Linked DNA regions of Notamacropus eugenii. The protein of the gene in region 3 interacts with the protein of the main gene of each other region in a pairwise test. Links are inferred from orthologs where the notes say so. Each region holds a gene or a part of one and is shown on either strand. Other genes may lie near its edges. The genes, in order: SMC3, PCNT, TRAF3IP1 and SPTBN1.

Evidence for each region.
Region 1: the proteins of TRAF3IP1 (region 3) and SMC3 interact in a two-hybrid assay, tested with the Homo sapiens proteins (2 studies listed by BioGRID and IntAct). The link is inferred for Notamacropus eugenii from reciprocal best matches to the Homo sapiens genes TRAF3IP1 and SMC3.
Region 2: the proteins of TRAF3IP1 (region 3) and PCNT interact in a two-hybrid assay, tested with the Homo sapiens proteins (2 studies listed by BioGRID and IntAct). The link is inferred for Notamacropus eugenii from reciprocal best matches to the Homo sapiens genes TRAF3IP1 and PCNT.
Region 4: the proteins of TRAF3IP1 (region 3) and SPTBN1 interact in a two-hybrid assay, tested with the Homo sapiens proteins (2 studies listed by BioGRID and IntAct). The link is inferred for Notamacropus eugenii from reciprocal best matches to the Homo sapiens genes TRAF3IP1 and SPTBN1.

Annotation. Positions count from the first base shown.
Region 1 is NC_092872.1:188,251,586-188,259,286, reverse strand, and holds the start of SMC3 (structural maintenance of chromosomes protein 3), read right to left. Parts: upstream 3,161-7,701; 5' UTR 2,544-3,160; coding exon 2,529-2,543; intron 1-2,528. UniProt on the Homo sapiens protein: Central component of cohesin, a complex required for chromosome cohesion during the cell cycle. The cohesin complex may form a large proteinaceous ring within which sister chromatids can be trapped.
Region 2 is NC_092873.1:68,466,066-68,473,406, reverse strand, and holds the start of PCNT (pericentrin), read left to right. Parts: upstream 1-4,180; 5' UTR 4,181-4,402; coding exon 4,403-4,459; intron 4,460-6,095; coding exon 6,096-6,302; intron 6,303-7,341. UniProt on the Homo sapiens protein: Integral component of the filamentous matrix of the centrosome involved in the initial establishment of organized microtubule arrays in both mitosis and meiosis. Plays a role, together with DISC1, in the microtubule network formation.
Region 3 is NC_092873.1:65,997,179-66,005,145, forward strand, and holds the start of TRAF3IP1 (TRAF3-interacting protein 1), read left to right. Parts: upstream 1-4,866; 5' UTR 4,867-5,009; coding exon 5,010-5,132; intron 5,133-7,967.
Region 4 is NC_092872.1:651,984,188-651,991,656, reverse strand, and holds the start of SPTBN1 (spectrin beta chain, non-erythrocytic 1), read left to right. Parts: upstream 1-4,369; 5' UTR 4,370-4,609; exon of another isoform or gene 4,610-4,697; intron 4,698-5,341; exon of another isoform or gene 5,342-5,703; intron 5,704-5,812; exon of another isoform or gene 5,813-5,932; intron 5,933-7,469. UniProt on the Homo sapiens protein: Fodrin, which seems to be involved in secretion, interacts with calmodulin in a calcium-dependent manner and is thus candidate for the calcium-dependent movement of the cytoskeleton at the membrane.

The DNA.
Region 1 (7,701 bases), on a different chromosome or scaffold from region 3:
TGAGCATGGGGTAGGGGTGGAGGGGCCTAAGAGGATGGCACCCTCTCTAGACAGGTACCCTAGATAGTAACATGAAAATGTGTGGTTTAGGGGGAAACAGAATGAGTTCAGTTTTAAATATACTGAGTTTAAGATACCTACTGGACAACTAGTTCCAGATTTCAGCAGAGAGGTAAGGGCAGAAGAGGTAGATTTGAGACTTATCAACAAAGATAACTAAATCCATGGGAGCTGATGAGATCACCCAGTGAAGTACATAGGGAGAGAAGAGGAAGCACAGGATGAGGTTCTGTGGAACATCTACAACAGTGATGTAAAAAGTGACCAAAGACATTTTCAGAGTAAGCTGTAAAGACATGTATGAACTGATGCTGATCAAGAGTGAAATCAACAGAGCCAGAAAAAAACATACAGTAACACTGTAAAGACAATTTTGAAAGTCTTAAGGATTCTGATTAATGCAAGGACCAAACATGATTCCAGAATATTCATAATGAAAAATGCTATCTGATAGAAAGATGATAAACTTAGAATAAAGAATGAAGCATTTTCTGGACAGTCATTTTGGGAATTTTTTTTCCATCAAAGGTCTCATTTTTCTTTCTTTTACAATGGGGAAGGTGAGAGAAGGATTTTGGTCCATTAAAAAAGTTAAATAATATAAAATATTAAATACATAATACAAATATTAAAATATATAAAAAACAAAGTTTTTAAAAAGGAACACATAACACAGCAATTCACGTTTCATTATCTCTCCTCCCTACTGAAGAATAGGTAGGTCAGAGTGTTTTTCTCTATCCAGAATATCTTCCTTAAGTAGAGCTCTGGCTATGTCAGCCAAAAAGGATTTCCTTTGTTTTAATGAAGTTGCTTCTAACTTTATTTTATTTTCATTAATTTGTTTTCAGTTTTCTACAATCACTTTCATATATCTTAGATTTTTTTCCCCTCCATCCCTGAGTCAGCATGCAACCTTATATAGGTTCTATGCATACATTCCTATTAAATACATTTCCATCTTAGTCATACTGCATAGAATTAAAATGAATGTGAGAAACCACCAAAACAAAACATAATACAAGAGGAAATGGTCTGCTTCATTCTGCAATCCAATTCCATAGTTCTTTCTCTGGATGTGGAAGGCATTTTGCCTCAAGAGCCCATTGATAATATTTTAGGTCCTTGTCCTGTGAAGGACTAAATCTACCAGAAAAATTCCTCATACTGTGTACAAAGTTCTCCTGGTTCTGCTCTTTTCACTCAGCATCAGTTCATATAGGTCCTTCCAGGCCTCTCTGAAGTCTACCTGCTCATCATGTCTTACAGCACAATAGTATTCCATTACATCCCTACCACAACTACTTATTCAGCCATTCCCCAATTGATAAGCATCCCCTCAATTTTCAGTTCTTGGCCACCACAAAAAGAGCTGCTATAAATATTTTTGTACATGTGGGACCTGTTCCCATTTTTATGATCTCTTTGGGACATAGCCCTAGAGGCGATATTGCTGCGTCAAAGGATATGCACATTTTTGTAGCTCTGTGGGCATAGCTCCACATTGCTCTCCAGAATGGTTGGATCAGCTCACAGCTCCACCAACAATGAATTAGTGTTCCAACTCTCCCACATCTTCTCCAGCATTTGTCATCTTCCTGTTCTGTCACGTTAGCCAGTCTGATAGGTGTGATGTGGTACTTCCAAGTGGTTCTGATTTGCATCTCTCTAATCAATAGTGATTGAGAGTATTTCAAAAAGGATTTATTTAAGCACCTACTATGTGACAAGGTGTGTGTGTGAGAGAGACTACGTGAAAACCACCTACTAACAAGGCACATACAGAATGAACTGGACAAAACCCACAGAGGTGAGGCACCAGAATCAAGGGGGATTGTTTGGGGCTTGGGCGCCAGAAAGGCCAGGAGGAAGGGATGAGTTAGAAGAGAATTACAGGCCTAAAGAATACCCGAATAAAGGGGGGCGGGGGACACTTGGGTTTTCCACCCAGGGCCGTACCAAGCACGGGGCAGGCCTGGGGCGCAGCTCGGACAACCTTCACCAGCCTCCATTTAGAGCCACCACAGGGGAGGGGGAGAGGAGGATGGGAGGAGGCCGCGCAGCACCGCGCCTCTCGTTATTACGGTTAGGAACAGGCAAAGTCAAGTGCGGCCTGCAGGGCAGACGCCCCCCACGCGCGCCCCTCCGCGCCCCCGGGGGCAGGTCTGTCTGCCGAGGAGCAAGGGCCCGCTCCACCCCCCGCCCCCCGCCCGCCTCCGCGGCCCTCTCCCCTCCCCCTCCCGCCGCCGGGACCCTTAGGGCGGCCTAGGACCTTGGGGAAGGACCAGGGCCGAAGGTGCGGGAGGCAGAGGGAACGACGCCTCCCCTCTCCTCCCACCGCGGCCGCGCGGGGGATGGGAGCGGGCTCCGAAGCGCTGGGGGGGGGGGGGGGGGGGGCGGGGGGGGTAGGGGAGGCGGGAAACGGAGGCTGTCTTAAATCCTCTGAGACGGCGCGGCACCGGACTCACCTGTTTTATATACATGATTCCTCGCCCCCGGCCCGGGAGAAAGACCCTCCCGGGACCCGCAGCTGCTCCTCCGCCAGTCAGGTGAGCTGAGTCTACGACCCCTCCCCCACGACCCCGATCCTTTCCCCGGCCAAACAAAATGGCGGCCTCTGAGGAGGCGGTGTCCCCGTCTGGATCAAACCATCGTCGCCGCACGAGCAGGGAGGAGCGGGTGCTCCGGGACACTTCGCTGCCTTTCCCCACTCGTGACCAGCTCCGGTCGGACTCTGCGTGGCAAAGTCGTATTTGTGTCTTGGACGCAGCCTCCCTGGCTTCGAGAATAGGCTCTCGACTTTCCTCCCGGACATGCTTGGGCTGGTCCGTGTCCCCCCTCTAGGGCGGAAGCCAGTGGTAGCGACCACGAGAGGGGAAAGGTTCGGCGCTAAAGGCAAGCGTCTTCAAACCGCGAGGGGAGGGGACCGCGAAGATGAGCCAGGCTCTGTACCACGTGGTTTGAGGGGGGCGGTTAAGAAGAGACGCCAAGGTGGAACTTCGGCGCGGTGGCGCGTCGCTGTTTACTTTTGGAGATGCCAAGGCTTGGGCGCCGCGGGCCTCATTCCCTGGCGCGCCGGACAGACTGCCAGCCCGCATTTATGCCGCCTAACGGACGTTCCGCTTCCGCCACTTTGGGGGAGAATTTTGCCTGGGAGCACGTGCGCGGCCTTGGTTTCCCAGAGATCGTCGCGTGCGGCTGACGCGGAGGAGGGGTGGGGGGGGTGAGAAATTGACATCTCACCCACCCGTTGTCCTCTTTACGGGCCTCGTGGGAACGCCTCTGAAGGAGAAGCATCTGTGAAACCCCTGCTGTGTGCAGCTGCCAGGGACCCCATCCCGGTCATCCCTTCTTGCAGAAACCCCTCTACCTGTGAGATCTCCTTGTTCCCTTGTTCAGCCATGCCCCGCTCCTGTGACTGCTGGACCATCCTGCCCATGGCAAAGAGACCGGACTGAAGGCAGAAAGAGGTTATGTGACTTGCCCAGGGTCCGAGGCCACACTTGACCTTGGGTCTTCCTGTTTCTGTTGAGGTCAGGGAACCCTATGTTGAGGTTTAGGGTGTTTGGGACCCCAAGATAAGTGCACCCAGGGTCCTGCCAGAATGAGTTGGACTCAGGCTCTTATTCTGAAGAAACAATTTATTTTAAAGATCCGCCCTGCTGGGTTGACTCTTAAGAAGCCTCACCATTTGTGAAGCTTGTATAGACAAGGGGCCAGAGAGAATCTGAGCACCTTCATGGAGACAAGAAGGATCTTATATACGGAAAGACTGTGGGAGAAGTCTGGGGGTGGTCTAGTAGTCTGGGGTGATGGGAGGAGGGGATTAGGGAGGGTCTGGAGGAGGATCTTGGTGGGATTGGGGTGACTGGAGGTCAGAACCAAGAGAGTTTGATTGTGATCAAGGGTGGGAAACAGCTGGAGGCAGTGAGGAGGTCTAGAGTAGAAAGTAGGCCGGGGTAATCCAGAGGTCAAGGCTGGGGAGCAGCCAGAGGCTTGGACAAGCAGATCATGAAAGGCTTGTGACCTCAGGCCAACACCGGATTGAGTGGGGAAGATGTAACTCTGGGGGTTCCCAGAACTTGTTCCCCATCATTTCCACTGGGCCACCTAACTGCCTCCTATCTCATTATATGCTTACAAACTTGGTTTATCCTGATTTGATGGGTAAGAAAAATGACACCCAGAGAAGTGAAGTGATTTATTTAAGATTACATAGCTAGTAAAAGCTAGCTTTGCCCACCCTCACTGCTCTTTTTACACCATGCTGCCTCACTTATCTTAGCTTGCTTGATGGAGTAAGTTCCTGGATGGCACAAACTGCATCTTATTTGTCTTTGTAAATCTCATAGCAGATAGATAAGGCACTTATTAAGCTTATTATGTACCAGGCAACATGCTAAATACTGGTTATACAAATACAAGGGAGAAAAAGAAGCCTGTCCCTGCTTTTAAGGCACTCACATTCTGATGGGAAAATCACAACATTAAGGGGAGCAGGGAAGAGAAAGAAAACACAGGCAAGGCCTTACAAGGGGAGGAGGAGCTGTCCAGTGAGTGTTAAGCTCTGAGGGCATTGAGCAGCACAATTGGAACTCCTCACCAATCAAGAGAGCAGGCATTAGAGTGGAGTCATTCTAGTGGAGCATGAATTGAGGTGGCAGTGAAGTAGCCCCCAGCAAAGGCCTTTGAAGGCTCTGGTGGTACTTGTCAGGATGATTGAAAAATGATTAAAAGAATAAATATTAATTACCTTGTGTACTGCCTTCCCATTTAATTTCTGAGCTTTATAAGGACGAGAAAAAAATACATACACATGTATATTTTTATTTTCATATGTGTGTATGTGTGTTGTGTAAACTTACATATATTTACATATATACGTGTATATATGTATGTATGAATATTCCCCACAAAGGAAATATTGTACCTCAGAGAGTGGCAAGTATAATAGGAGAGAGTACTAGCATTTGAGGGAACCAGTATATCCAAGGAGCAACCTTCAGGGAAGACCATGAACTTATATGTGTTGGTGGAAGCAAAATCTTACAACACTCCATTCAAATTATGCTAGTTTTTCCTCAAAAGGTACTGATTGGTTTAGGGAATTAAAAGCTCTGGGTCTGATTTCTCTTCCTGGTTGCTTGACTACAAAATTAGAAGTTTGACTTAGATGTGCACTAGCATGTACAAGTCAAAGGCAGGGGAACCAATTTGAGGGGTTTTCAATGCATACTATTTTTTCTTTTTTTTAAATTAATTTGTTTTCAGTTTAACAATCACTTCCATAAGTTTTCAGTTTTCTTCCTCTCCCTCCCCAAGATGGCATGCAATCTTATATGGGTTCTACATATACATTCTTATTAAACACATTTTCACATTAGTCATGTTGCATAGAAGAATTAAACAAGCGGGAGAAACCGTGAGAAAAACCAAACAAAACAAAACACAAGAGAAAATAGTCTACTTCATTCTGCATTCTGATTCCATAGTTCTTTCTCTGGATATAGATGGCATTTTGCATCAAGAGACCTTTGGGAATGTTCTAGGTCCTTGCATTGCTGTGAAGGGCGAAGTCTATCAGAAACGGTCGTCGCATGCTGTTTCTGTTACTATGTATAATGTTCTCCTGGTTCTGTTCATTTCACTCAGCAACGGTTCATATAAGTCTTTCCAGGTTTTTCTGAAGTTCAACTGTTTGTCATTTTTTTATAGCACAATAGTATTTCCATTGCATTCATATACCTCAACTTGTTCAGCCATTTCCCAGGTGATGGGCATTCCCTTGATTTCAAGTTCTTGGCCACAACAAAGAGAGCTGCTATAAATATTTTTGTACACATGGGACACTTTCCCATTTTCATTATCTCTTTGTAATACAGCCCTAGAAGTGATATTGCTGGGTCAAAGAGTATGCACATTTTTGTAGCCCTTTGGGCATAGTTCCAAATTACTCTCCAGAATGGTTGGATTAGCTTACAGCTCCACCAACAATGAATTAGTGTTTCAACTCTCCCACATCTTCTCTAACATTTGCCATCTTCCTGATTTATCATATTAGCCAACCTGGTAGGTGTGATATTGTTTTGATTTTCATCTCTCTAATCAATAGTGACTTAGAGCATTTTTTCATATGACTATAAATAGCTTTAATTTCTTCCTCTGAAAACTGCCTGTTCATATCCTTTGTCCATTTTGCCCCAGAACAGAGCTGCCTAATACTGCTAGCATACAACCATGCTCATTGGGTCCATTATGAATTTACATTATGGAATCCCAACTGATTTGATCTCTCAAGAGAGCATAATAATAGCTATAAGCTGAATTATTGAATTCTGTCAGTGCATGCTTGTGAGTGTTTTGTGTTTCACCCTCATTTCCTCTTCCCTGAATATTAAAATGGTCTCCTGACTGGTCTCCCAGTCTCAAGTTTTCTCCTATCTATCCAGCCACTTTGAGACCCAGTTGGTTTACTCCTGTGACAGGGAAGACTTGACCCTGTTAGCACTAGTGCTCCCACCATCCTGAGTACCTCACATGTGGCCCACTATATCAGGATATCTCTGGCCGTACTTTATTTTATCCTCTGACCAGCTCCTTCTTAGCCACCTTTCCCTCCAATTCTGTTGTCCAGTTTTAGAACCATAATCAAAGCAATGTTGCCATTGTTTTATAAAGGTTAGGCTAATCTATTTATAACTGTTCACAATCCCTGTAATGTTCCTATGCAAAATATCTCTGACCACCAGTCCTCAATTAGAATGTGAGCTCCTTGAAGGTAGGAATTGTCTTCACTTTTGTCTTTGTTCCCCTAATGCTTGGCACATGATAAGTACTCTTTTTTTTTTCATTCTTTTCATTTATGCCTTTTTTCATGCTCTATGTAGTTTCCAAGTTAATATTCCTAAAGCACAAGTCTGACCGACTCTCCTCAAGAATCTTCAGGGACTCCCAATTGACTGGAGAATAAAATATAAACTCCTATCTGGCACTGAAAACCTTTCATGATCTGGCTCCAACTTCTCTTTCTGAGCTGATTTCACTTTACTGCCCTTCATATACTCTACTCTCCAACCAAATGAGCCCATTTGCCATTCCCAGTGCTGGCTGTTCCATCTCCCACCTACATGCCTGTGGAGATGCTGTGAGTCTCCTGACTAGAATTCACTTCCTTCTCACCTCTGCTTCTTGGAATCTTTATCTCCTTTCAAGCCTCTGCCTGTCCTCCCTCCTACAAAAGGCCTTTACTGATCCTCCATTTGTTAGTATTTCTACCACCTCCTCATCCCCCCAAATTAGTTCATATTTACTGTATATATACTCATTATTTACTTATCTATGTACATGTAGCCTCCCTGTACCATGTAAGTTTCTTAAGGTCAGGGGCTGTTTTGTTTCTGTCTTTGTCTCTCCAGCCTCCCATACTGTGCCTGGCACATAGAGCCTTTATAAATGCTTCCGAATCAAATTACATTCCTTCATTTGATCTTCTCAACAATTCCATAAAATAGACAAAAATGTATTTTTATTGTCATTTGAAAGGTTGAGTAAGCTGAGGCTTAGATAAATTAGGCAGTTTGCCCTAGGTTACCCAGTAAGCCAGAATCCTTGCCCTAGACTGCTTCCGTTTTGCTGTTATGG
Region 2 (7,341 bases), about 2.5 Mb from region 3:
CTGACACACACACAGAAGATACTTAACAAATGAGATCATGGAAAATGCTGAATAAGTGTAAAGGCTGATTATGCTTACTAGTCATTACCTATATAGCATGGATTCACTTTTCATAATTTATAATATTCATATAGGCAGCAGGGTGGTCCAGTGTGTACAGAGCCTGACCTGGAGACAGGAAGATCCCAGTTCAAATCCAGTCTCTGATGTACTAGCTGGGTGACCCTGGGAAAGTCACCTAACTCTGTTTCCCTCATTTTCCTCATCTGTATGATGAGCTAGGGAAGAAAATGGCAAACACTACGGTGTCTCTGCTAAGAAAACCCCAAATGGGATCACAGAGAGCCGTTCATGGACCAAAACAACTGGACAACAAGAAACAGAGAGTTTGATCAGTAGAACAGCATAAATGTACAATATGCTGAAGCAAATGAGGCAGCTGCCTAGTATCTGAGAAACCCAAAGATCCTGGCTACTTGGCTAGCAACTCACGATTCAATAAAAAACTATTAGGAAAACTGGAAAGAAGCCTGGTAGAAACGAGGTCTAGATCAGAGGTGGTCCCAGACCAGATGAAAATTTAACTGGGAAATACTTAACAAAATAAATAAAGATACCTGGCATGGGTGATGTCTTTTGATTCATGTATAAATTGGATTTAAGTGAGGTAGAGCTGCACAAAGTCATAGGCCTTACTCTGTCCTCCAGTCAACACAGTCCATTGGCAGGATGACTGGTGATGGCTCTGGATGCAGTGGATGACTTTAGTGTCTTTGTTTTCTGACCAGCCTCCCAACCTTCCAACCAAGCCATTGGAAGAAATTGTTCTCATTCGCCCATCCCATCAGGGGAAGTCTTCACATGCTTGGGGCAGAGCCCCCCAAGCTCACCGATGGGTTTGAGGCTGGTTGGTTAACCTCAGCCTGGTTTGGCCCATATGCCAAAATGATTTACTGGGGTGTGGATGCTGTGCATGCTACAGTTTCTTGGAGCCACAGGTGAGAGTTAGATGGATCACGTAGACACTGAAGGTGGAAGAAGCCCTCACACCAGAGGTCCTAGTCTTCCCTGAACACACCATTACATTTGAAAACTGCCAATATGCACGCTGCAGGGATTCTTCTATTCAGATTAATGGCCCCCACTTCTATCTGAGTTTGCCAGCCCTGGTCTAGACCAACACCTCCCACTATACCCCATGACAAGTTCCAAACAGGTGAGTGACAGCTATAGAAGAGGCACCATGAACAAATTAAAGAAGCAAGGAAGCACTTACCTGCTAGATCGATTGATAGGGGAAGAGTTCAGGACCGAATCCTCTCCAGAGGATCACAGAAGAGAAAATGGACAATTTTGATTACATAAGAAGAAAAAGCTTTTGCAGAAACAAAACCAATTCAGCTAAAGTGAGAAGAGAAGCAGGTAAGTGGGAAAGAGATCTTCTGAACCAGGTTTGCAGCAAGTTCCTCTGATAAAGGTCTCATTTCTAAGATATACAGTGAACTGTTTCAAATTTCTAATAAGACTCATTTCCCCAGTACATAGTCAAAGCAAAGACAGTTTTCAGAGGAAGAAATTGAAACTATCAATAGCAACATGAAAAGTCCTTGAAATGACTAATAATTAGATCAATGCAAATGAAAACAGCTCCTACTCTGACATTTACTCTGTAGGGTTCTCTGCGGAATGAGTGAGTTCAACTTTGTCAACCCAAACGATGGCCACTGGAGAGCACAAGTTAGGGCCTTCCAGGCGGAGTCTAGAACCCTATGGGCACCAGAGACCATATGGACCAAGCTCCTCCTTTTACAGATGAGGAAACTTAAGGCCCCTGTGACTTTCTCATAAGACAGCCCCAATACTTTTCCATATGGCATCTCCTCAGGATAATTAATCCCTGATGCAGCTTATAGAGAGTTCCTTAGCGTGAAAGACATTGAGTTAAGTTTCCACAGTAAGTTATTGTTAATTGATGAAGTCATTGAGAATAAGTTAGATAAGAAGGCCAGCAGACTGCAGGTAAACTCAATCAACCAAAAGACAGACGGTGGCCTTCAGAAAATTACAAAGTTTTTGATAAAGGCACCAAATCTACAGCTAGCTGGAACTAGCCAAGAAAAATGACCTACAGTTACCTGGAGGCCTCATGCATATAAGCAGACACACCCCAAATAAAATTATACCTCCATTTTCTGATCATGGGTCCTATGATAAAGCATGTTTGGGAGGGGGAATCACACTAAGGAAGGTTATGTATTGGGCATGTAGAGAAGATGGTGACCTAATGGAGAATGGACCAATCCATCTTCTGGTGGAAGGATCTGTCTTGGAGTAACAGTATATAGCTCATCTCCCTTCTGTATTCAGTGCTCCCTCCTCTTGAAAAGAGGGTGGGGGCCCGCTTTGGCCAAAGTGTTCAATTCCTCTGAACTCTGCTGTAATATTTCCTTGATACCTTTTTAGTGTCACAAATGTTTCTAACATTAGCTTATAAGCTACTTAAGAGCAGGGACTTTCTTCTGCCTTCTTTGTATCCCCAGTGCCTGGCACATAAAAAGCATTTTTTCCTCAGAAGCCTGTGATGCCTATGGTTTGTTGATTACTGCTATCTTCATTTTACCAAGGGGGAAACCAGGCTCAGAGAGGGAGAGTGACTTTCCTGTGATCACACAGGTTTGCAAGTTAATTAGCATTTTCTGCATGTTAGGTATTGTGCCAAATTCTGAAAGCGGAAACGCAGCCCCTGACCTTTAGGAGCTCAGAAGGTGGGTTTTTAGCTGAGATTTAAGGAAGGTGAGGGGCAGGGAAGCCAGGCAAGTAAGGTCAAGTATTATAGGTATAAAAGAGCCAATGTCAAGATATGGAGGTGAGAGATAGAGAGAAACAGAGTCAATGGATCGTGGAGGATGGAAAGCACTAAGGTATAAGGAGACTGAAAAGGTGATGGTGGGGGTGTGGGGTCTAACACCTTGGCAGGGCTTTCAAAGCCCACACGATGTTTTGCATTGGCTTCAGGAGTGAACCACGGAGGTATCCTGACCAGTGGCAGCAGGTGGGGATGCACTGAGTCAGGGAGGCGGGTAAGAAGGTGGTGAGGCAGGGCCAGGCAGTCACCAGGGTTAGGCAGTGGGGACAAGCAGACTTAGCCTGGGAAGGGAGGAAGACACATAGGACATGTTGGCTACCAGTGGAGTGTACGGGGACTGAGGGGCTGGAGGGTCCTGCCCTGGAGAACCCAGGGCAGAGGGGAGATCCCTTTGAAAGCCTACAGGATGTCCAGGGATGCGGCCCCAGGTGGCAGGAAAGAGAGTGGGGCTGGACACACAGACCTGGGGATCACTGGCATGGAGAAGAGAACCGACCCCACAGGAGGGGAGAGAGCAGAGCAGGAAGTGCCCTCTATCAGGTGCATGCATGGAGGGCACGGGGAGGCATGAACTTACAGTGGAAAAAAACAACCTTCAGTTATTTAAAAACATTATTCTGAGAAAGGGTCCATTGGCTTCATTGGACTGCGGACCTCACCCACAGCCTTGTCAGTGGTTGAAGATCCAGACAAGGGGCCTGAGAGGAGGAGGATGGTGTCCTGGAGGGGGATGGACAGTGTCCTGGGGAGTTTGGACAGTATCCCCGGTTAATGAGAGATCTGAGAAGGGGCTGCCCCAGAAGTGGTCGTGGGAGGGGGGAAGCACGCCCCCTCCAGGGCACGTGTGGACATTCCACACCTGCGGCCCCTCCTGGCTGACCTGGCCTCAGCTTGGCCCCCCGGGGCCGAGGGGAAAGGGGCGGGGTGGATTGGTACCTTGGCCCCGCCCCCAAGCCGTCTCACTCCGCCCAGTCCCGGAGTTCCCGGGCTTCGGGCCCTGGCACAGATCCCAGCAGAGCCCCGAGGTCAGCCCGCCGCCTCAGTCTTTTTCCCGCCCGCGCCTCTGATTGGACAACGCGTTCCAGAGGCGCTAGGCGGGCCCTTTGAAATTGACCAAACAGAGGGCTCAGCTCGGTTGACGTCATAGCGCAGTAACCAATTCTTTCGTAAGGTAGGCGGAGCCTGGGCTGAGCGGAAAAAGGGAGGATACAGAGGCTAGCGGCCTGTCACTCAGAGCTGTACCAGGGCGGTTGGCTGGGAGGGGTCGGGTTTCCAGAAGAGCGCCCCGCCCCGAGCCCATGATTGGCAGGGCAGACGCGGGACGCCGTTCGCTTGTTGGCCAGTGCAGGCGTCCATCTGTGGGAGGACGCCGATGGGCGTGGGCGGGTTGGAGAGCGCTCGGAGGGTGCCCGGACCCGCCCCCTCGCTCCCGGTCAGTTAGGGGGCGGGGCGGCCGTGTCAATACAGCGGCTGCAGAGGCGGCGGCGGCGGAGGGTCGCGTCCGCCCCTGGGCCACGCGCGTATCCTCGCCGGGCCATGGAGTACGACGAGCAAGAGGAGCGGCGGCGCAAGGTGGAGGCCGGCCGGGCTAAGGTAAGGCCGACCCTGGCCGCCGCGTGGGATCTTCCCCTCCCCACAGAGCGCGAAGCTCGGGAGCCTGGGGAGGGGCGGGAAACCTGCGGTCCTGGGGGAGTGGGAAGGGGCCGCCTAGCACCGAGCCCGCTAGCTTGGCGGTCCCCGATCCCCCATCCCCGCCGGGGCCGCGCCTCTCTCGCGGGCTCGCCCGAAATCTTCCGCCTCCTGGCCGCCGCCATCTTGAATCCACCGCTCTTTCCTCGGCCCCGCCCCCTGCCTCCTGGCCAGTCATCGCGGGGTGGAGGCGGGGCCAGGCCCTGGAGGCCGGGGGGGTGGGGTGGAGCCTGACCACCGAGTCTCCCGGTCCTCCGCCTGCTAGAAGGTCCCGGAAGTGTAGGATACTGGCCGGAAGCGGGCTCACGCATTTCCGGCCTCTCTGGGGGCCCACCCTCTGGGCTCCGGGCGTGGCTTGGGGCGGAGTTGAGGAGGGGGCGTGTGCCTCCACCTCGGAGTGACGCTAGGGGTTTAGTGTGCTGGCTTCTCTGTGCACAGATGGGGAAACTGAGGCCCGCCCACCTGGACAGCTTGGGGCGACCTCCCTCGATGTACAGATGGAGAAACTGAGGCTGCCCCAGGGGAGGCCCACCTGCGGAGCCTGGTTTCCCCAAAGCCGGGCCTGAGCGCCGCGGTCACCCCGAAACAGTGGCCCAATTTGGAGGCGGCCCGCGAGGGGTCAGTGCGAAGGAGCGAGCCCCCTTCCCCCCAGAGGCCCCTGGGACCTCAGTACTACCAAGGCCCAGGCCCCCAAGAGAGCAGGGCCTCCCTCCAGGCCTGTGCTCAGTGCCCGAGCAGGGCCGGCTTCCCTGGCTGTAGGAGGGAGGTCATGGCCCAGGGTGGGTGACCAGTGCGGCCTCCGAGCCCAGCTTGGGGCTGATGATGGCGGGTCTTGCACAGTTGAAATATTGGTGCAGATTCTGGCTCGCCACAAGCAGGCTAGTGGAAAAGGCTGATCTCAGCTCAGGGAGCTAAGGAGAGAGGGTTCTGATGGGTGACATGGTTTGGAGGTCCCTGGTGCTTTGTGCACCGGGATACTTCAGAAAAGTAGAGCATCTGATTCTTTCAAGGAGGAGAGGCAATTGACCCAGCTTAATGAATTTTTTGCTATTTCTGTAGATGTGGCTCAGAATCAGTGGCTCCAAGTTTGACTCCTGGTTTTCTGCTTTGGGGGCAGGGGGAGCAGGCGAATGAAAGGGCCCGACTCGCCTCTCAGTTCATTTCCATGCCTTGGCGAAGTTGATGACCACTTGATAACTTCCTGCCAGTGACCATAGCTAGCAGGCTGCTTGTCAGCTGTTACTTAATTCCCCTGACCTGTTTGTAGGGCCCCAATAACTTGGGGACTTGGATGTCATTTTCATTTCCATTAGAACCCTGCAGACGGCACCCTGCTGTTTTGGCTGGGGATGCCTTTGGTCAGGGCTGAGGCCTAAGTTGGCCACCTGGATCCTTGATAGCTAGGGAGTCCCCGTGGATTTTTATGCACAGTCCCATTAAGCCATTCCATGTTCTCTTCCACAGGGGTGTTCACTTTGTGGTCCTGTTACGGTTTTCTCACTTATCTCTGTCTCTACTATTTCTTAACCTTCTTGTGTAGCTTGCTCAGTTCCGACAAAGAAAAACAAAAGGCGACAGTTCGAGTTCGAAGAAAAAGGCGTCGAAGAGGAAGAGCACGGCTGTCCATGCGGCTGTCACGGAGAAGGAGGAGGAGTGCACGGTAACACCCCCAGACCTGGAGCAGAGTGTGGACAGCAGGGGGGACGGTGACTGTGCTGAGGGGAGAGCCAGCGCCCTGGAGGCCAAGGTGAAGTGGCTGGAGGAGGGTGGGCTGGGGCTCTTGGTTTGCGTTATGTTGTTGTGATGGTTCCTCTCCTTTTAACGCACTAACCTCCGTGTCTGGTCTGTTTTTGGCTGCCATAAGTGGGAGGATGGGTTTCTTGTTTCCACAAGGTGAGTGAGCGGTGTTCTTTGCCCTGATGTTTCATACCTTGGTGCCATGGTCATTTTGAGAAACTCTCGTAGGCCTCATCCTCAATTGTTTTAATAAATATTGAGAGAATTAACTATGCCAGTTATGGTAGAGTTTCTGCTTAATTCAAATTGAGAACTCTCTTGAAACTTTCCATGTCCCCCAAATGCCTCCCCTCTTCCATTTCCCTCCCATCTTACTGCCCTTGAAGTGAGTGGGAATCCAAGGCATCGCATGGAGTTACAGATGTAGATCTAACTTCAGTGGCCCGACATCTTCCTAGGGCATCCCAGCGCAGGCTCTGCAGGAGGAGGAGGAAATTCGTCCAAGGTGTTAAGCAGAAGAGAGAAAAGGGAATGAGCATCAACCAGTTGTGTGGGACGTGGTGGGGTAATTGCTGTGAGGAATTCCTGGGTTAAGGGCTTAGCCTCAGTTTGTGGATTCCTAATTGCCCTGGGTTTGAGGTCAGCAAGGACACACTTTGTGTGGTGGTATCTCTGTATGGCATGGAGTCTGAGTGGGCAGCATGTGGGAGGTGGGAGGTCCTCTCAAAACCCATAAAGAGAAGTCTGAAGAATTTGGCTGTTTAAAAACAGTAGGGGTGGTACATGGAACTGTGAATGTTGAAGATGCCAAAGAGAACCAAGAGAACATTTATGTGCAGAACTGTTGATGTCGGCATTCTGAAATGAAAATGGCTGCTTGTCACTGCTCTCTTGTCATCCAGTATATTGAGAGCATCTAGTTTCCAGAATTTCCCCTATTTCTAACTCTCCTTTCTTTCCTCTTACTTGTAGTGCAGATGTTTGATAAGTATTTGTAGAATAATTTTATCTCTGGAGAGGTCCTTTGGAGCCAGCATCCTTGACCACCT
Region 3 (7,967 bases):
TCTTGTAAGGCAACAGATTTCTATACCCCATTGTCTATATATCTTATTTCCCAGTTTCATTCAAAAATAATTTTTAACATTTGCTTTTAAACTTTGAATTCCCAATTCTCCCCCTTCTTCCATTCCCACCCACCCTCACTGAGAAGGCAAGCAATTCAATATAGGTTATATATGTGTAGCTATGCAAAATACTTCCATAATAGTCATGTTGTGAAAGACTAACTATATTTCCTTCCATCCTACCCCACCTACAATTCTATTTTCAATTTTGACCCTGTCACTTTTCAAAAGTGCTTACTTCTGACTACCCCCTTCCCCAATCTGCCCTCCCTTCTATTACCTCCCTATTCCCTTTCCCCTTACTTTCCTGTAGGGTAAGATACCCAACTGAGTGTGTATGTTATTCCTTCCTTAGGCCAACTCTGATGAGAGCAATATTCACTCATTCCCTCTCACCTTCCTCCTCTTCCCTTCTGTTATGAATCCTTTTTCTGCCTCTTTTATGTGAGATAATTTACCCCCTTCTATCTCTCCCATTCTCCTTCTCAATATACTCTTCTCTCGCCTCTTAATTTTATTTGTAAATATCATCCCTTCATATTCAACTCCTCCTGTGTCCTCTATGTACACACATACACACACACACACACACACACACACACACACACACACACATACATATATATTTCCTCCAACTACCCTAATAATAAGCAAGATCTCATGAGTTAAAAATATCATCTTTCCATGCAGGGATGTAGACAGCTCAACTTTAATAAGTTCCTTATGATTTTGTTTTCCTGTTTAGCTTTTCATGCTTCTCCTGATTTTTATATCTGAAAGTCATATTTTCTATTTAGTTCTGGTCTTTTCACCAAGAATGCTTGAAAGTCTTCTATTTCATTGAAATTCCATTTTTTTCCTCTGAAGTATTATACTCAGTTCTGCTGGATAGATGATTCTTGATTTTAATCCTAGCTCCTCTGACCTCTGGAATATCATATTCCAAGGCCTTCAATCCCTTAATGTAGAAGCTGCTAGATCTTGTGCTACCCTGACTGTATTTCCATAATACTCAAATTATTTATTTCTGGTTGCTTGTAATATTTTCTCCTTGACTTCTGAACTCCAGAATTTCGTTACAATACTCTTAGGAGTTTTCCTTTGAGGGTCTCTTTAAAGAGGTAATCAGTGTATTCTTTCAATTCCTATTTTACCCTCTGGTTCTAGAATATCATGGGAGTTTTCCTTGATAATTTCTTTAAAGATAATGTCTAGGCTCTTCTTTTTTGATCATGACTCTCAGGTAGTCAAGTAATTTATAAACTATCTCTCCTGGAACTATTTTTCAAATCAGTGGTTTTTCCAACGAGATATTTCACATGGTCTTCTATTTTTTTTCATTCTTTTGGCTCTGTTTTATAATTTCTTGATTTCTCATAAAGTCATTAGCTTCTATTTACTCCATTCTAATTTTTAAGGAATTATTTTCTTCAGTGAGCTATTGGATTCTTTTTCAATTTGGCTAATCCTGCTTTTTAAGGCATTCTTCTCCTCATTAGCTTTTGGACTTCTTTTGCATTTGGGTTAGTCTATTTTTTAAGATATTATTTTCTTCAGTTTTTTGGGGGTGGGGTCTCCTTTAGCAAGACGTTAACTCATTTTTCATAATTTTCTTGCATCACTCTCATTTCTCTTCCTAGTTTTTCCTCTATGTCTCTTACCTGATTTCAAAATCCTTTTTGAGCTCTTCCATAGCCTGAGACTAATTCATATTTTTCTTAGAGGCTTTTGATGTAGGAACTTTGACTTTGTCGTCTTCTTCTGGTTCTATGTTTTGATCTTCTTTGTCACCAAAGATTTTCTGAGGTTTTTTACACTGTTTGTTCATATTCCCAGTCAAATACTAGACTTTCTAATTCTTTGTCAAGATAGGATTCTTCTTCCAGTATAGGTAGGGGTGAGTATACTGTCCCAGGCTTCAGTCACTCAGCATCAGTCACTCAGTCCCCCACAATCTGTGGGCCCAGAGCTCCAGAAGCAGTTACAGCTTTCACTGCTGCTGCTGGTGGTGCTGTCATCAGCACCGCCTCCTCCTCCTATGCCCCAGGGCTGGGGCCAGAGCCCAGCCAGACCAGATCCCACAGAGTTTTTCCGCTGAACTTCCATATGGTATTTAGCATTTGTGGGTTGAGAAGTCTAGAAACTGCCACAGTTGCCAATGATTCAGTCCCCTGAGGATTTCTCTAACCCTATCTGTGCAGACATGGCCCATGCTGGACTGTTCTACTCCCAGACTAGTGCAATAGATGCTTCCTGTTGACCTTATAGGTTGTCTTGTTCTAGAAATTTGTTTCACTCCATCATTTTGTGGGTTCTGTTGCTCAGAATGTATTTAGAATCATTTTTACAGGTATTTGGAGGGGTTTGGTGGAAGAGCTCAAGCAAGTCCTTGCTTTTACTCAGTCATCTTGGTTCCCAAGATTTTCGTCTTTTACTCTCCCTTTTTTAATCCCTCCTTCTGTCTCCTCACTCATTCTACTGTAGCCTCTCTTCCTCCTGAGAAATGACAGGAGTCATTTTCTCTTATGACTGCACTTTGACTTGCCTGGGATATATCACATATTCCCCTCTATGTTTTTCTTCCTTTCCCCTCTTTTATGTGTCCTCTTATTTTGACATTTAATCCCATAACAAGCATTGATTCACCTCTACTTGGGATGTTGTGAGGTTCAGCCTATGATATCTTACGCTTGTTTCTTCACCATCACTTCCATTTGATTTCTGCTTTCACCTTTTTCTTCTCATGTACATTTAGAAAGAGTCTCAATGATTGTTGGTTGGCTGTCCTCCTGTTGCTCTTGCCCCTGTTTTCTTATATTTTTGTTATGTTGGACATTTGAAAAGCAAATACTTTCCTCTGTGTGGTTTTCTTTCTGGGAATTCTCTGAAAGCTTCTTCTTCATTATTGAACATCCACATTTTTTTCCCTAACAGTCAGGCTCAAGTTAGGTCACCTTGGGCTGAGTTTGAGCTCCTTTGCTTATAGGAACATGTTATTTCAATATCTCCTACAGTTTCTGGTCAGTGCTAAAGAGTTGTGTTTTAAAATTTCTTTTGCTTTATTCTTGAAAGTCTTTCCCCTTGTTGCTTAGAAAATGTGTTGTCAATGGAATTGTTCAACTGAAACACTGGAGTTTACAGCATAGGAGTTTGGGGAGTTTTGTTTAATCTGGGGGTGATCTGTGAATTCTTTTGATAGACACTGTTTTTTAGAAGTTCTAGGCAGTTTTCTTGTATTATTTCTCACATTATGATGTTTTTTATTTTAACTTGTGTTCTTCTGGGTCACTTAGTTGGTTTTTGAGATTAATGTTTTTCATGCATGGAGATCACATTTTTCTTTCGTTTCTTTTTTTGGAGGCAATTGGGGTTAAGTGACTTGCACACGGTCGCACAGCTAGCAAGTGTCTGGGACCAGATCTGAACTCAGGTCCTCCTGATGTCAGGGCAGATGCTCTATCTACTGCTCCACTTAGGTGCCCCCACATTTTCTCTTAATGTTATTGCTTCAGTTCCTCTTCTCCCAGTTTGTCTTTCACTTCTGTGTGTACGCATTCCCACTGAGTTATTTTCTTTTCCTTTGTTGGTGACACTTGCTACTGTGGGTTCAAAATTTTTATTCTGCCGAATACTTCTGCTGTGCAAGCTATAATTCTGCATTCACAATTCTTATTTCTCTTTTAAACTATTTGGATTTGGTCATTTTCACAGAGTGAAAAATGTGATGTGTATATCAGGGTAGGGTATTTTGTTACTTTCTTTAAAGTTTAGTGGGGCAATGACTAATCAGACCCTCACCCATTTACCTCAAATATGATAAGTAAGGGAATTGTAAAGTCTTAGTCTTCAGGGAGAAAATAAGAAAGAAAGACTATAGAGAAGAGGGAAGCAGAGAGAGGAGGGGGATGGGAGAGTGAAGGAGGAAAGCAGGGAAGAGAAAGGTTGAGAGAGGAGGCAAACAAAAGAGGGAGGGGGAGGAAAAAGGATAGAGGATTCACCGTAGAAAAGACAAGAAGAATGAGGGAGAATGGGGGAAGTGGGGAAGGAAGAGGAAGACGAGTGGAGGAAGATTCTCTGAGAGAAGGGACCTCAGTGGCCGTCTTGTCCAGTTCTCTCGTTTTGTAGGTAAGGAAACTGAGTCCTAGGGAGGTTGTGACTTAAGAGGGGGAGCGTTCACCCACATGCTTTGGGAGACAGGGAAGGAGGAGGGGGAACGAGAAGGGGGAGGAGGAGAAAAGGTGACTGGGAGGGAGAAAAGAGAAATGAAGGGAAGGAAGGGAAGGAGAGGGGAGGAGAGAGAGGGGCAGGAGGGAGGAGTCCAGAAGACCCGTGGGCTCCTCCCCCATCCCACCCCGCCTCCTGCAGGCTGGCCTGAGGGCGGGGCCAGGATCCTGGCTGGGGCTGTGAGGTGGGAGGTGGAGGAGGAAGGAGGCGGGTCCAGGGGGCTGGAAATGGGGAGGGGCTAGGCTAATGAAGAGCGGGTGCCGCTAGGGCTGTGGGGCCTGGCCTCTGTGGGTGGGCGGAGCTTGCCGTGGAGGAGCTCGCAGGGATGCGACGAGGGGTGGGGCTAGAGTCCGGGTCTTCGGGCCTTGGAAGGGGGGGCCAGGTCGCTGGGGGCCGGGTCGCTCTCAGGGGGCGGGGCCTAGACTCTGGTGAGGAGGCGGGCTGCCGGGCTGGGGGCGACCTCTGGAGGCGGGGACATCCGAGACGGCCAGCCGGGATTGGACGGTGAGGGGGAGGGGACGTGATGCCGGCGGCGGCGGCTTGTTGCCCGTTGCTAGGGCGGCGCGCGCCTGGCGACAGAACGCTGTGGGTCCGCGCAGGCGCCGTTGTGGAGCGCGGTGTATTGTGGGATGGGCCGGCGAGCTCGGCGGCGACGGCGGCGGTGGAGGCGGGAGCGGCGGGGCCAGGCGGCGGCCTGAGGTGGCCCGGTCGCGGCCGGGGCCGCCATGAACGCGTCGGTGGTGAAGCGCACGCAGGACTCCCTGGGGAAGGTGATCAAGAAGCCTCCGCTGACGGAGAAGCTGCTGAGCAAGCCCCCGTTCCGCTACCTGCACGACATAGTCACGGAGGTGCGGGCACAGGCCGGGGGGGCAGGGGAGGCCCCGGGGGGTTGGGCCTAGCGGGGGGTCTTCTGTGGAGGGCGGGGCTGCCGCCGGCGGCCCTCCCAGCTCGGCAAGCTCCCTCTGCCTGTGCAGATCGCCGCTCACGCCTCCGGCTTGCTGCGGGCAGCCCCTGGGGAGGGGGAGGGGAACCTGAGCAGAGCCCCCCTGGGGGGTGTGGGGGGGCGGGGAGCTGCCCAGCAGGGGCGCCCCCGTAATGTGCACGCCGCAGAGCCAGGGGAGTCGGATTCAGTGACCACCTGCGACCTGTGGGGTCCAGGCTCCTCCAGCCCCTGCCCTCCGGAAAGGGTCAGGTCCCGGGACTGTTTGTGGAATGCTGATTTTTTAGTCTTCCCAAGAACGTCCGAGTCGGCTGGATGTGAAACTTCCTGGGCTGGGGTGTTTGCCCGCGTTGCCATGGGAGGCCGGCGCGCTTCCCGACTGCCGTCTGCCCGGAGGCTGGGGGGGTGCGGGTCGGGGTGCGGGTCGGGGCCCTTAGCCCCCCGGTGACGGGCACTGCTTGGTTCTTGGACCGCTCGGGTCATACAGACGTTCTCCCTCTTGCTGGTACCAACCTTCCTTTGTCAAAAACCAACGAAAGGGGGAAATCGATCCTGAAAAACCATGTATTCTGTTTAATGCAACTAGGAGACTGAGAAATTGAAAGATGTGTTTACTGCTGTGGACTAGCCAGTCTATAAAGTGCAGCTGGAGTTTGGGTTTGCATGAAAGAAAATGGAATTCTGTCCTTGAACAACAGTCCCCAGGAAAGAACTAGTCCTTGGAAGATGACCACTTTTGTGCTTTGTGCCGTGCATGGGACAAGATGAACTGAAATAGGACCCCAAAGTCGGGTCTGGTTAATTGGTTTGTTGGGTAAAAGCAGTTAAAAGAATGAAAGAATGCCAGTTTGATCTAACTGAGCTTCAGAAGTGCCTGACACTGCCCTACAAATGTTCCCAGTTTCATGTCATCTCCGTGTTTGATAAATATGTGCCATCTGTTTCTTCATCTGAGTCATTGATAAAAATGGTCAACAGCCCAGACTATCCACCAGAGACATCCCCCTAAGTTGCCACAGAGCCATCATTTGTTTATGCAGACTACGTTCGCTCAATCAGTTGAGAATCTAGTTGATGGTACTGTCATGTAGCCTGGGGATTCCCAACCTTTTTGAGTATGAGAGTCCCTTTTTTCTAAAAGAAAAAAATATATAGACATATCGCATAATGGATATCAATTGAAAAGTAAACAACAAAACATTTAATTCACTGATGTTTAAAAATGAATTTACATTTTCTTCATAACGACCCCATTTACATATGCTTGAAAAGTAATACTTAAGTCTGCTTCTGACAGCATTTCCGTTAATGCCACCGTCACCCAGCCAGGGCCTCCCGTTCGAAACTTTAGAATTAACCTCGATTCTTCTTCATGTCCCTCACCTTCATATTCCAGTGTCTTTCACCCTGTACTAAGTCCTGTGAATTGTATCTGCAAAATCTCCTGCATTCAGCTTGCTCTTTGCTCATTGATTGAAAGCTCTGGGTGCTCCTGTCTTGGCCATTAACTGTTCGTGCTGTTGAGCCAGTCATTACCACTCCCTGAGCCTTGATGTGTGTGCCCATCTCTAAATGGGGGTTGTATAAGGGGTTAGCCCCAGAGGGGCAGCACTGGGGACCATTTGGGCATGTGACAAAGAGAAGAATTGAGATTTGATGTGAGGATAAAATTCCTAACAACTGAAGTTTTCCCCACATGCAGGGGCTGCCTGGGGAAGGAGAAGTGTCTTCATGCAAAGGTCGGGTGCCCATTTGGAGTTGGGTTATGCAGTAGGCAGATTCTTGCTTAGGTAGCAATTGGCCTCAAGAGCTTCACAGGCCTCTTTTGTCCCTGAGAGTCTCTAACCTCTAAGGTCCTCTGAGGTCACCTGCTTCTTTTTGCTCTGGCATTCTTAGGTGCATTGGTTGAGGTAGTAGTAGCAAGACTGAGGGAGAAAAAGAAACAAACAGAAGGACTTGATTATTCATAGGGAGGCAAGATACTTCTGTTGTGTATAAAGAATTGTGGGCCCTCATCTTTTTGCCACTATAGCCTTTCATTGATAGGATGCTAAATTCATCTTATCTGCCAATGTAATAATATTTAATGTTTGCCATAACTTGATGGCTAGAGGTCCTGCCTTAGAGTCAGGAAGACCTGGGTTCAAGTCTTGTCTTTAACATATATTAACTCTTTGACCACTGGTAAGTCATTTAACCTTCATCCCCATATCTACTCACCCACTCCCACCCCAACTTTGAGACTATATAAATTCCAGATGAACTGGTCACCTGCTTCAATGCAGTGAGGCTCCACACAGGAAATTCCCTAGAGCCATGAAATCTCAGGTCTGGACCCCTCTAGCATCCCCCCAAAAGAAAACACCTTTGAAAATTTGCAGGCTCTGTCACCTTGTCTGGTAGGGTGGGTAATCCAAACATCCAAGGTTTTGTCCTCCATGATTTTTGCCCATGATTTTTCCAGAGGGGCCCTGGAGACATCACAGATTTTGTATCTTATAGGGCCAGTTGATTTGACCATCAGTTTCTTTAAAATGCTAGGACCTCTGAAATCTTGAAAAAACTTTTTGATAAAATCAGTGTAAAGCATCAGAATTGCTAAAAAAAAAAAATGGTGTTTTGTTTTTATCTTATTTTTACTGATGCTTTTTTTGTCATGTGTCAGTATGGTATGGTGGATAGAAAGCTGGCCTTGAAGCCAGGAGTGCCCTGCTGACCAGGTGGTAATCATTGGTTTGGGCAG
Region 4 (7,469 bases), on a different chromosome or scaffold from region 3:
TCCTCAAAAGGCATGCATTCTACTAGTAGATACAACATGTTCACAGATAAGTAAATATAGGCTATACATACATACACACACATATATACAATAAACTAATATATTTTGATTTTAAGTAGCTAAACATTTAATAAATTAATAGAATTGTATATACATGTATGTATATGTAATTAGGGGCCACAAACTGGGGATATAAGGAAAGGTCTTTTGAATGGGGTAGCTCTAAACTGAACCTCAAAATGAGTTCTAAGAGGTAGAGAAAGGAGAAAGTTGTTGTCATTGAGAATGCTCGAGAAAATCCAAGGGACCTGCTTTATCATATAAATAGGCAAAAAAGTGGCAAAGTAGATAGAGTACTGGGCCTGGAGTCAGGAAAACCTGAGTTGAAATCTAGCCTTAGATACTTATAGGCTGTGAATTCCTGGGCAAGTCACTTAACCTGTTTCACTCAGTTTCCTAATCTGAAAAATGGGGATAATAATAACACCTAGCTCCCAGGGTGGTTATGAGGATCAAATGAGATAATTACTGTAAGGTGCTTAGTATACTACCTGGCACATAGTTAAGTGCCATATAAATGTTAGCTATTATTAATTAAAATAAAATTTTGTAAGACCTCAAATTTATATTTCCCACTATACCATTATTGGTTGGGCACATAGCAGGGACTCAATAAATATTCATTTGTTGATTTGGACCATTTTGGATGTGGAGAGGAGTTTAGGAAAATAGGGATGGTTTTAAAAGTAAGCCACCCAAGTAAAAGGATTTCAAGAGGGCTGGGAATCTTCTTTTCCAAAATACATCCGGATTCACTGATAAGTGAAAATACATGATAAGGAATTTCATTCCTCCCCCTTATGCCAAATAAAGGTCTTGTCCCTCTTATTTCTAAGATAAACAATATTAATAAGAAATCTACCAGTCACTTACACCATAGTGCAAATAATCTTTTCATAGGAAAAAGGGTTGAGAAAATATTCAAACATTTAGTACATTGAGAGAATGCCTCACTGAGGGGAAGAATGACAATAATAGTTAACATTTATATAGCACTCTAAGGTGTGCATAGTGCTTTAAATATTAACTCTTCTGATCTTCACAACAATCTTGTGAGGGAGGTGTTATTATTTTATCATCTTACAGATAAGGAAACTGAGTCAGAGAGATTAAATTATTTGTTCTGGATCATGCAACTACTAAGTGTCATAAGCAGGATTCAAATTCGGGTGTTCCATCCACTGTGTCACCCACCTTCCTAAAAAGAGGAGGTAAAGAAAGAATGGGGACAAACTCTAATTACTTATCAATTTTCCCTTTAACTAGCCCAACTGAAGAACAAATCGATTTCCTGGTCAACCAAAGAAACAACTGATGACAGAAGAAATTGAATCTAAAATTTCAAAGTATCCTTGCTTGTAGGACTAAATAACAGGAAAAAAGAAAAAGAAAAAAAATATTAATAGGTTTGGCACATTGAGATCACTGTTTACTTAAAGGAACCTAGCAATCATCATCCAGGTCATATTTAATCTTCTTCAGGGTTGATTTTTCTTTTTAACCATTTGATTCTGAAAATGTTATTTTAACAATTAGACATTCATGGGTATAAATTTAACTGTCATAGTCTGTCCTTTTTACCTTTAAAAATATAATTAAATATTAATATCTTGCCCAAAGGCTTTAAGGGAAAGGAAGTTTAATGAGAAAGGAATCACAGAGTAAAGTATTTCCTTAGTTTTATTCATTACTAATAGACTAAATCTTGAGCATGAAAAATTTTTTGTAAAAATCAAAATTTTCCTAATAGCCTTTATGATTATTAATCCAAGATCAAAATTATTATTATTAATAATAATATACTCTCTGAATGTGAGTCATTTTCAGTGTTGAACCTAAACTAAGTAATTTCCTTTTATACTGGAAGTGTTCCATGTTAGGGTGTTTCTTCATTAGCTATAATTCAAAAATGACTAATGACTATCTCTATGATCTAAATCTGTTAATTCCTATTAATTTTTGTTGATTGCCAATAATGTATTAGCTGCTAGATAAAATATTATGAAGACAAAGTTCCAGCTCTCTAGTAGAACCTTTCTCAACTTCTGCATTTAAAAAGTTTCCCTTATATCTTACAATAAAACTTTAAATCAGTAGCCTTCACTCTGAATTTCGGAATCACACTTAATAAGCTACTATAAAGTTGGTAAATTCTTACAGTCCCCGGTACAATGCCATATAAATTGTGAAGTTAAGGAAACATGTTGCCTTTTCTCAGGGAGAAAGCATAAAATGATTTGGGTTGGGGGCAGGATATGGTCTCTACTAGAGCTAGAAGATTAACCATTCTAGTGGTAGAGAGATAAAGGGAGTATTTAAAGACCACTACTAAAAATAACTTTGGAAGTGTTTAAGAATTTATTTCCCTGGAGACTCTGTTGTTTTCTTGTGGATTTCATTGACTGAAACAAGCAAAAACTCAGTCCTCAGGTGCAGCATTCATTTCCAGTGTGCTAATTTCCCTGTGCTTACCTTTATGATGTTTTCATGTTTTTGTTGTGATTTGATGGCATTCCTGAAAAATACTTCATTTATTTCCTTCAACTTCTGAAACACTGAAGTAAGTATAACGTGTGAAAACATTTATTTTGCTCATTAAAAGCTAAATGACTGATTTTTCTGACCCTTTAGGTCCCTTTCCTTCTAACTTGAAAATTTCCAAAATTAAAATTATTTATCGGCATCACAGGATACTACCAGTTTTAAAGCTTTTAAAAATATCCATCTAATCCAATCAATCAACAAGCATTTATTAAGCACTTACTACATGCCAAGAACTATGAAAAAAAACCATATACATATATTATTATATATAAAACATAAAAATGAATACAAGGTTGATTTAGAACTCAAAAGTCATTATAAAGGGAAGAAAAAAGAGAATGCTTAAATTCTGTGAAAATTTAATAATCTTTTATATGTTTTTAACAGTACAATTTTTTGGTTCTACTTTTGAAGCCTTAGGCCATCTGAATTGAGACCCTGACTTTTGGGGTAGACCAGCATTCTGAATAGGGTGATCAGGTACATTAGGCAAGAAATAAATTTTAGTTAATTTTTTATGTGGTACATGTGTGTTAACTAAAATTGCCAGTTCAAATTTCTGCATTTTCAGCAAAACACGATATTCATCTGTAAACACTTAAACACTAAATATACCAGGTCTCAGACCTCTACTGCTTGAAATAGCTGCAAATCAGTAATGAGGTTCTCTAACCTTCCTAGGTCAGTTTTTGTTTTAAGGTTTGGGGGATCCTTCAGAAGAAAAGGTTCAACAATTCTCTTGAGCCGAAATAATAAAAATTGTATAGTGCTCACGTTTTCCTGGATCTGGGCTAGATAACCATACAGAGCAAGTTAACCACAACTTTTGTAGGAGCTTATGTTCTAAAGCTCAGATTTCTAGCTAATGTAGGTAAGTCTTGACGAGAACCTTGACAGGTCCATTACTGAGTAGTGACAGACAGCTTGTTAGTCCCCAGGAAACACTGTATCTCAAAAAAGGGGGTGGGGGTGGGGGCCGCTACGGGATGTTTGCCTCAGGGATAAGAGGCTGGAGTTCAAGTACTAGGCTAGGCTACCTAGGTAGAAAGGGTTAAAAGAATTCACAAAGGGAGAACTTGACCCAGAGAATTGGGAAACAAACAACAAAAAAAGGCGCCCAACAGAGATGTCGCCTTTTCCCCACCTGAGCGGAAACCTACAAGCACTACCTCCCAGATTTAAAACAAAAATGGGGAATCCACCCACTTAAAACCCCCAAACCCAGAAAGCAAACTTTGTCCTTTGTTACAAAATAAAAAACCAGCAAGGAAGAAAGGAGACTGAGCGAAGTCACGTTCAGAATTAGGCTGCCCCTTTCCATGGTGATAATCGAATTAGGCTTCAATTAAACGTGAAATTGGCCCTCTCGGGGGGTGGGGACAAAGCCCCCATTATCCCCGGCGCTCCCTCTCCTCCCGCGGCGGCGGTGGCCCCTATCGGGGTGCCTGGCTTCCAGGCCCGGCCTCGGGGACTGAGGAGAGAAGAGGAGAGGAGAGGAGGAATGCGGAGGGAGGTGAATGTGCAAGCGCACTTGTTTATCAGCTGCAGCCCAGAGAAGGCGCTCGCTGCAGGTAGCTGGGAGGAGGCCCGGGCCGGGGGCTGGAGGAGCGCAGCGGAGAAGGGGGCAGAGGGCGGTGGGCACTCTCAGAGGCACAGAGAGAGTGTTTGCGCGGTGGCGGCGGGGCGCGAGCCGGAGGAGGAGGAGAGGCTTGTGGGTGGGTGTCTGTGCAGCATCCCTCTCCCCGCCCCCTCCCAGCTCCCGCCCGCCCTCCTCCCGCCTGCCTCCTGAATCAGTGCAGCTGTTGCTGTGTGGGCTGCGGATTCCTCCAGTCGCTCCCTTCCCTTCCTCTCCTCCGGGAGCGCAGCGCTGCACTGCACGGCGCCCGGTCCTGTCCTGTGAGCCCCGACCCCCGCGGCGGCTGCCAGCACCGACCGGCTGCCCAGGAGGAGGACGGGACCCCGGCGCCCCCCACCCAACCTCCCCATCTCCCCGGACCCCGAAGAGGTAAGGGCCCCGAGGCTGCGGTTGTCGTTCTGCGGACCAGATGCCAACTCACTGAACGCCTCCTTTCCGTTCCCAGCCCCCGGGTTAGGTGGGTAGGAGAGGATTGCGAGAGGGGGAGGCGCAGGGTTCTGGGGAGGGGGGGGCTGTGAACCTTAGGGTGCTGTGCCAGGACGACAGCGAGGAGAAATCACGCTGACCCTTTCCCAGCACAGAGGTTGGAGGGAGGGGGAGGGGAGGCTGCAAAAACAGGGAGGGAGGGGCGGCGGGGGTGAGTAGGGGTTTGTAGGGCTGGTGACCCCCTCTTTTTAAAAAGTGTTCCTTTTATTGGAGGGCAGTGGGCGAGAAAAGGGGCGCTTGGGGCGGGATTCAGGGCCTAGGGAATGAGCAAGACGGAGAGAAGGCTGCAGGCAGGCTCTGCAGTCTGGCAGCTGCAGACATGGCAGTGTGTGACTGTTGCAGCGGCTCCATCATTAGGTTGCAGCAGACATCCCTCCTCCCCTTCGCCTTTCTCCTCCTTTAAGCTGTGTGCCTCATTTTCCCAGTATTTTTCTGGGGGGAGGCATTAAAGAGAGAGGGTACTGAGGTTCTCGAGCGCATATTTTAGTGAGGTGCAAAAAAAAAAAAAGAAAAAATCGCCTTTGGCTGCTTGGATTGGTGTGTGTGTGTGTGTGTGTGTGTGTGTGTGTGTGTGTGTGTGTGTGTGTGTGTGTGTGCGTGTGTGCGCGTATGTATGTAAAGGAGGGGCAGAAAGGGAGGAGAGTGGGCATCTTGGCGAGGGGTCGCTGACCGTGCTTGGTGACCTAGGTTGCTGGATGTAACGGTACAGGAGATGCAACCAGGCGTGGTCCTGAGCTGCGCTGCTGCTGCTGAGCTGGAGGCGGCGGCAGCAGCAGCTGCTGCTGCTGCTCCTGCTGCTGCTCCCGCCTCCTTTTCCTTCCCTCCTCCTCTTTCTCCTCTTTCTCCTCCTCTTCATTTCCCACTCTCTCTGGACTGGGCGTGAGCAGCTACGGTGCTGGGAACAGGCTGCTTTTTCGGGCTTCGGTGTTCTTCAACAGGTTTGTGCCGACCTGGTCATCTCTTTTCTGGTCCCCTAGGTAGGGTTGTGCTGGTTTGGGAACCCTTCTTCCTCCCTGCTCCCGCACCCTGTTTTCTTGCGTTGGGTCGTTCTCTTGGCTTTTGTGATGGGAAAAGTGTCAATCCGCTGCAATCAGATTTACAGTTGTTCCCCCTCCCTCCTCCTTTCTCCATGTTGGGAAGACAGCCTGATATGATTGCAGGCTTTGCAAACCGTCTTGAATTTTAAGAAGAAAAAAGAGAAAACAGGTGAGAAAAGTATCTGAAGATGGGCCTCAGGAAAGAAAGAATCCATGACTTGGGTTAATTTGTTTTTTAAAATATATTTAATCATGATCTAGCAGGAGTGGGATGATGCAGCACAATGCAGCTAGATATATGACAACCTTATTTTGTTCTTGGTGGCTCTCCTTTGCATAGCAACCCATCGCCCTGTGCTCTTTCCCAACCCCACCCAGTTGGAAAGCTTTTTTTTTTCCAGAGCCTGGGGCTGCTTGTCCCCTGTCATACGGTTTCAGCTGGATGTGGCTTCAAAAGAAACAGATCACCTAGGTGTAGAAGGAGAAAGAGACATTTTTGCGGGGGTTGGGGGGGAAGGAGGGAGTGGATGAGGTAGTGGTTAAGGGACCCTCCCTGTTTGGTTGCTGTTAGGTTGTACTGTAATGAAGAGGAGTTATGCGATTGCAGTTCTAATGCGGTCTGATGGAGCCCAGCCTGCGGCTGTGGACCTTTATCCCATACTATCAAACTACTGTAGGAGCATTAGGGAGGGGCGACAGGAAGAATGATATTGTAAATGTGAGGAAATGGTGCATGTTGTATGTGAGTAGTCATGGGATATATTTATTAGATGGCTGACCACGCCATGTAATCTTCCAATATAATTGGCTTCTGAATATATCAGAAGTTGATGACAGTAATAAATTCACATTTAGCAGCTTAGGGCACCCAGTATTAAGAATATAGGTTTTTAGTTCTAGAAAAACTATGTGCATAAAAAAAAATTAAAGAAGTTAAATGCTTTTAGTTCCTTGGGCCTCAAAAAGTGTATAAAGATGTTAGAATTTCATATATTTTTAAAAATTGCTCTTTAAGGGTTGTAAAAGTGGGCTTTTTTATTGTTGGGGGCTTAGCCAAGTTTTTTCCCCTTTAAATTGAAACTATTTGGAAACTAAATTCACATCTTGAGATAACAAATGAGATTTATATTTAATAGAAATCAAACATTTTCAAGAGTTTTTTTATTTAAGTAGCAAAATTGGCTTTACATATAAGATTATTTCAGTAGAGTCATCATTAAGATGATTGTAGCTGAAATTAACCACACATTTAAATTTCACATCTTTTCTCTTAAGTGTTTTCTTCCAAATGTGATTTGGGCAGATTTTCATGACATGATTTTTTTCTTATGGCTTTCTTATGGCTTTTCTTACGCTTAAGTGTTTCATAGCATTAAGTCAAATGTGGCAGGGAAGTGATTTTACCTCTCTCTTCGTATAGTGAATTTCATTTACAGATGACTTTCCCATAGTTCTCTTAGATACTTGTATTTGAAGTTGAGTAATAAATGGAATTTAGTGCATAATGCCAGTCTAGGTTCTGGTTTTGAGGAAATGTCACCTAAATTAGGTAAAGAGGTACTATCTCAGTAGTTAAACATTTCAAAGCCAAGGATTATCAGTTGATAGTCATATTTTCATGAGTCTAGGTTTGTAGCCTTTGAATATGCATAATAATACATAATAAAATTAATGAAATTAAGAAGCTTTAAATGATAGCTTGATGG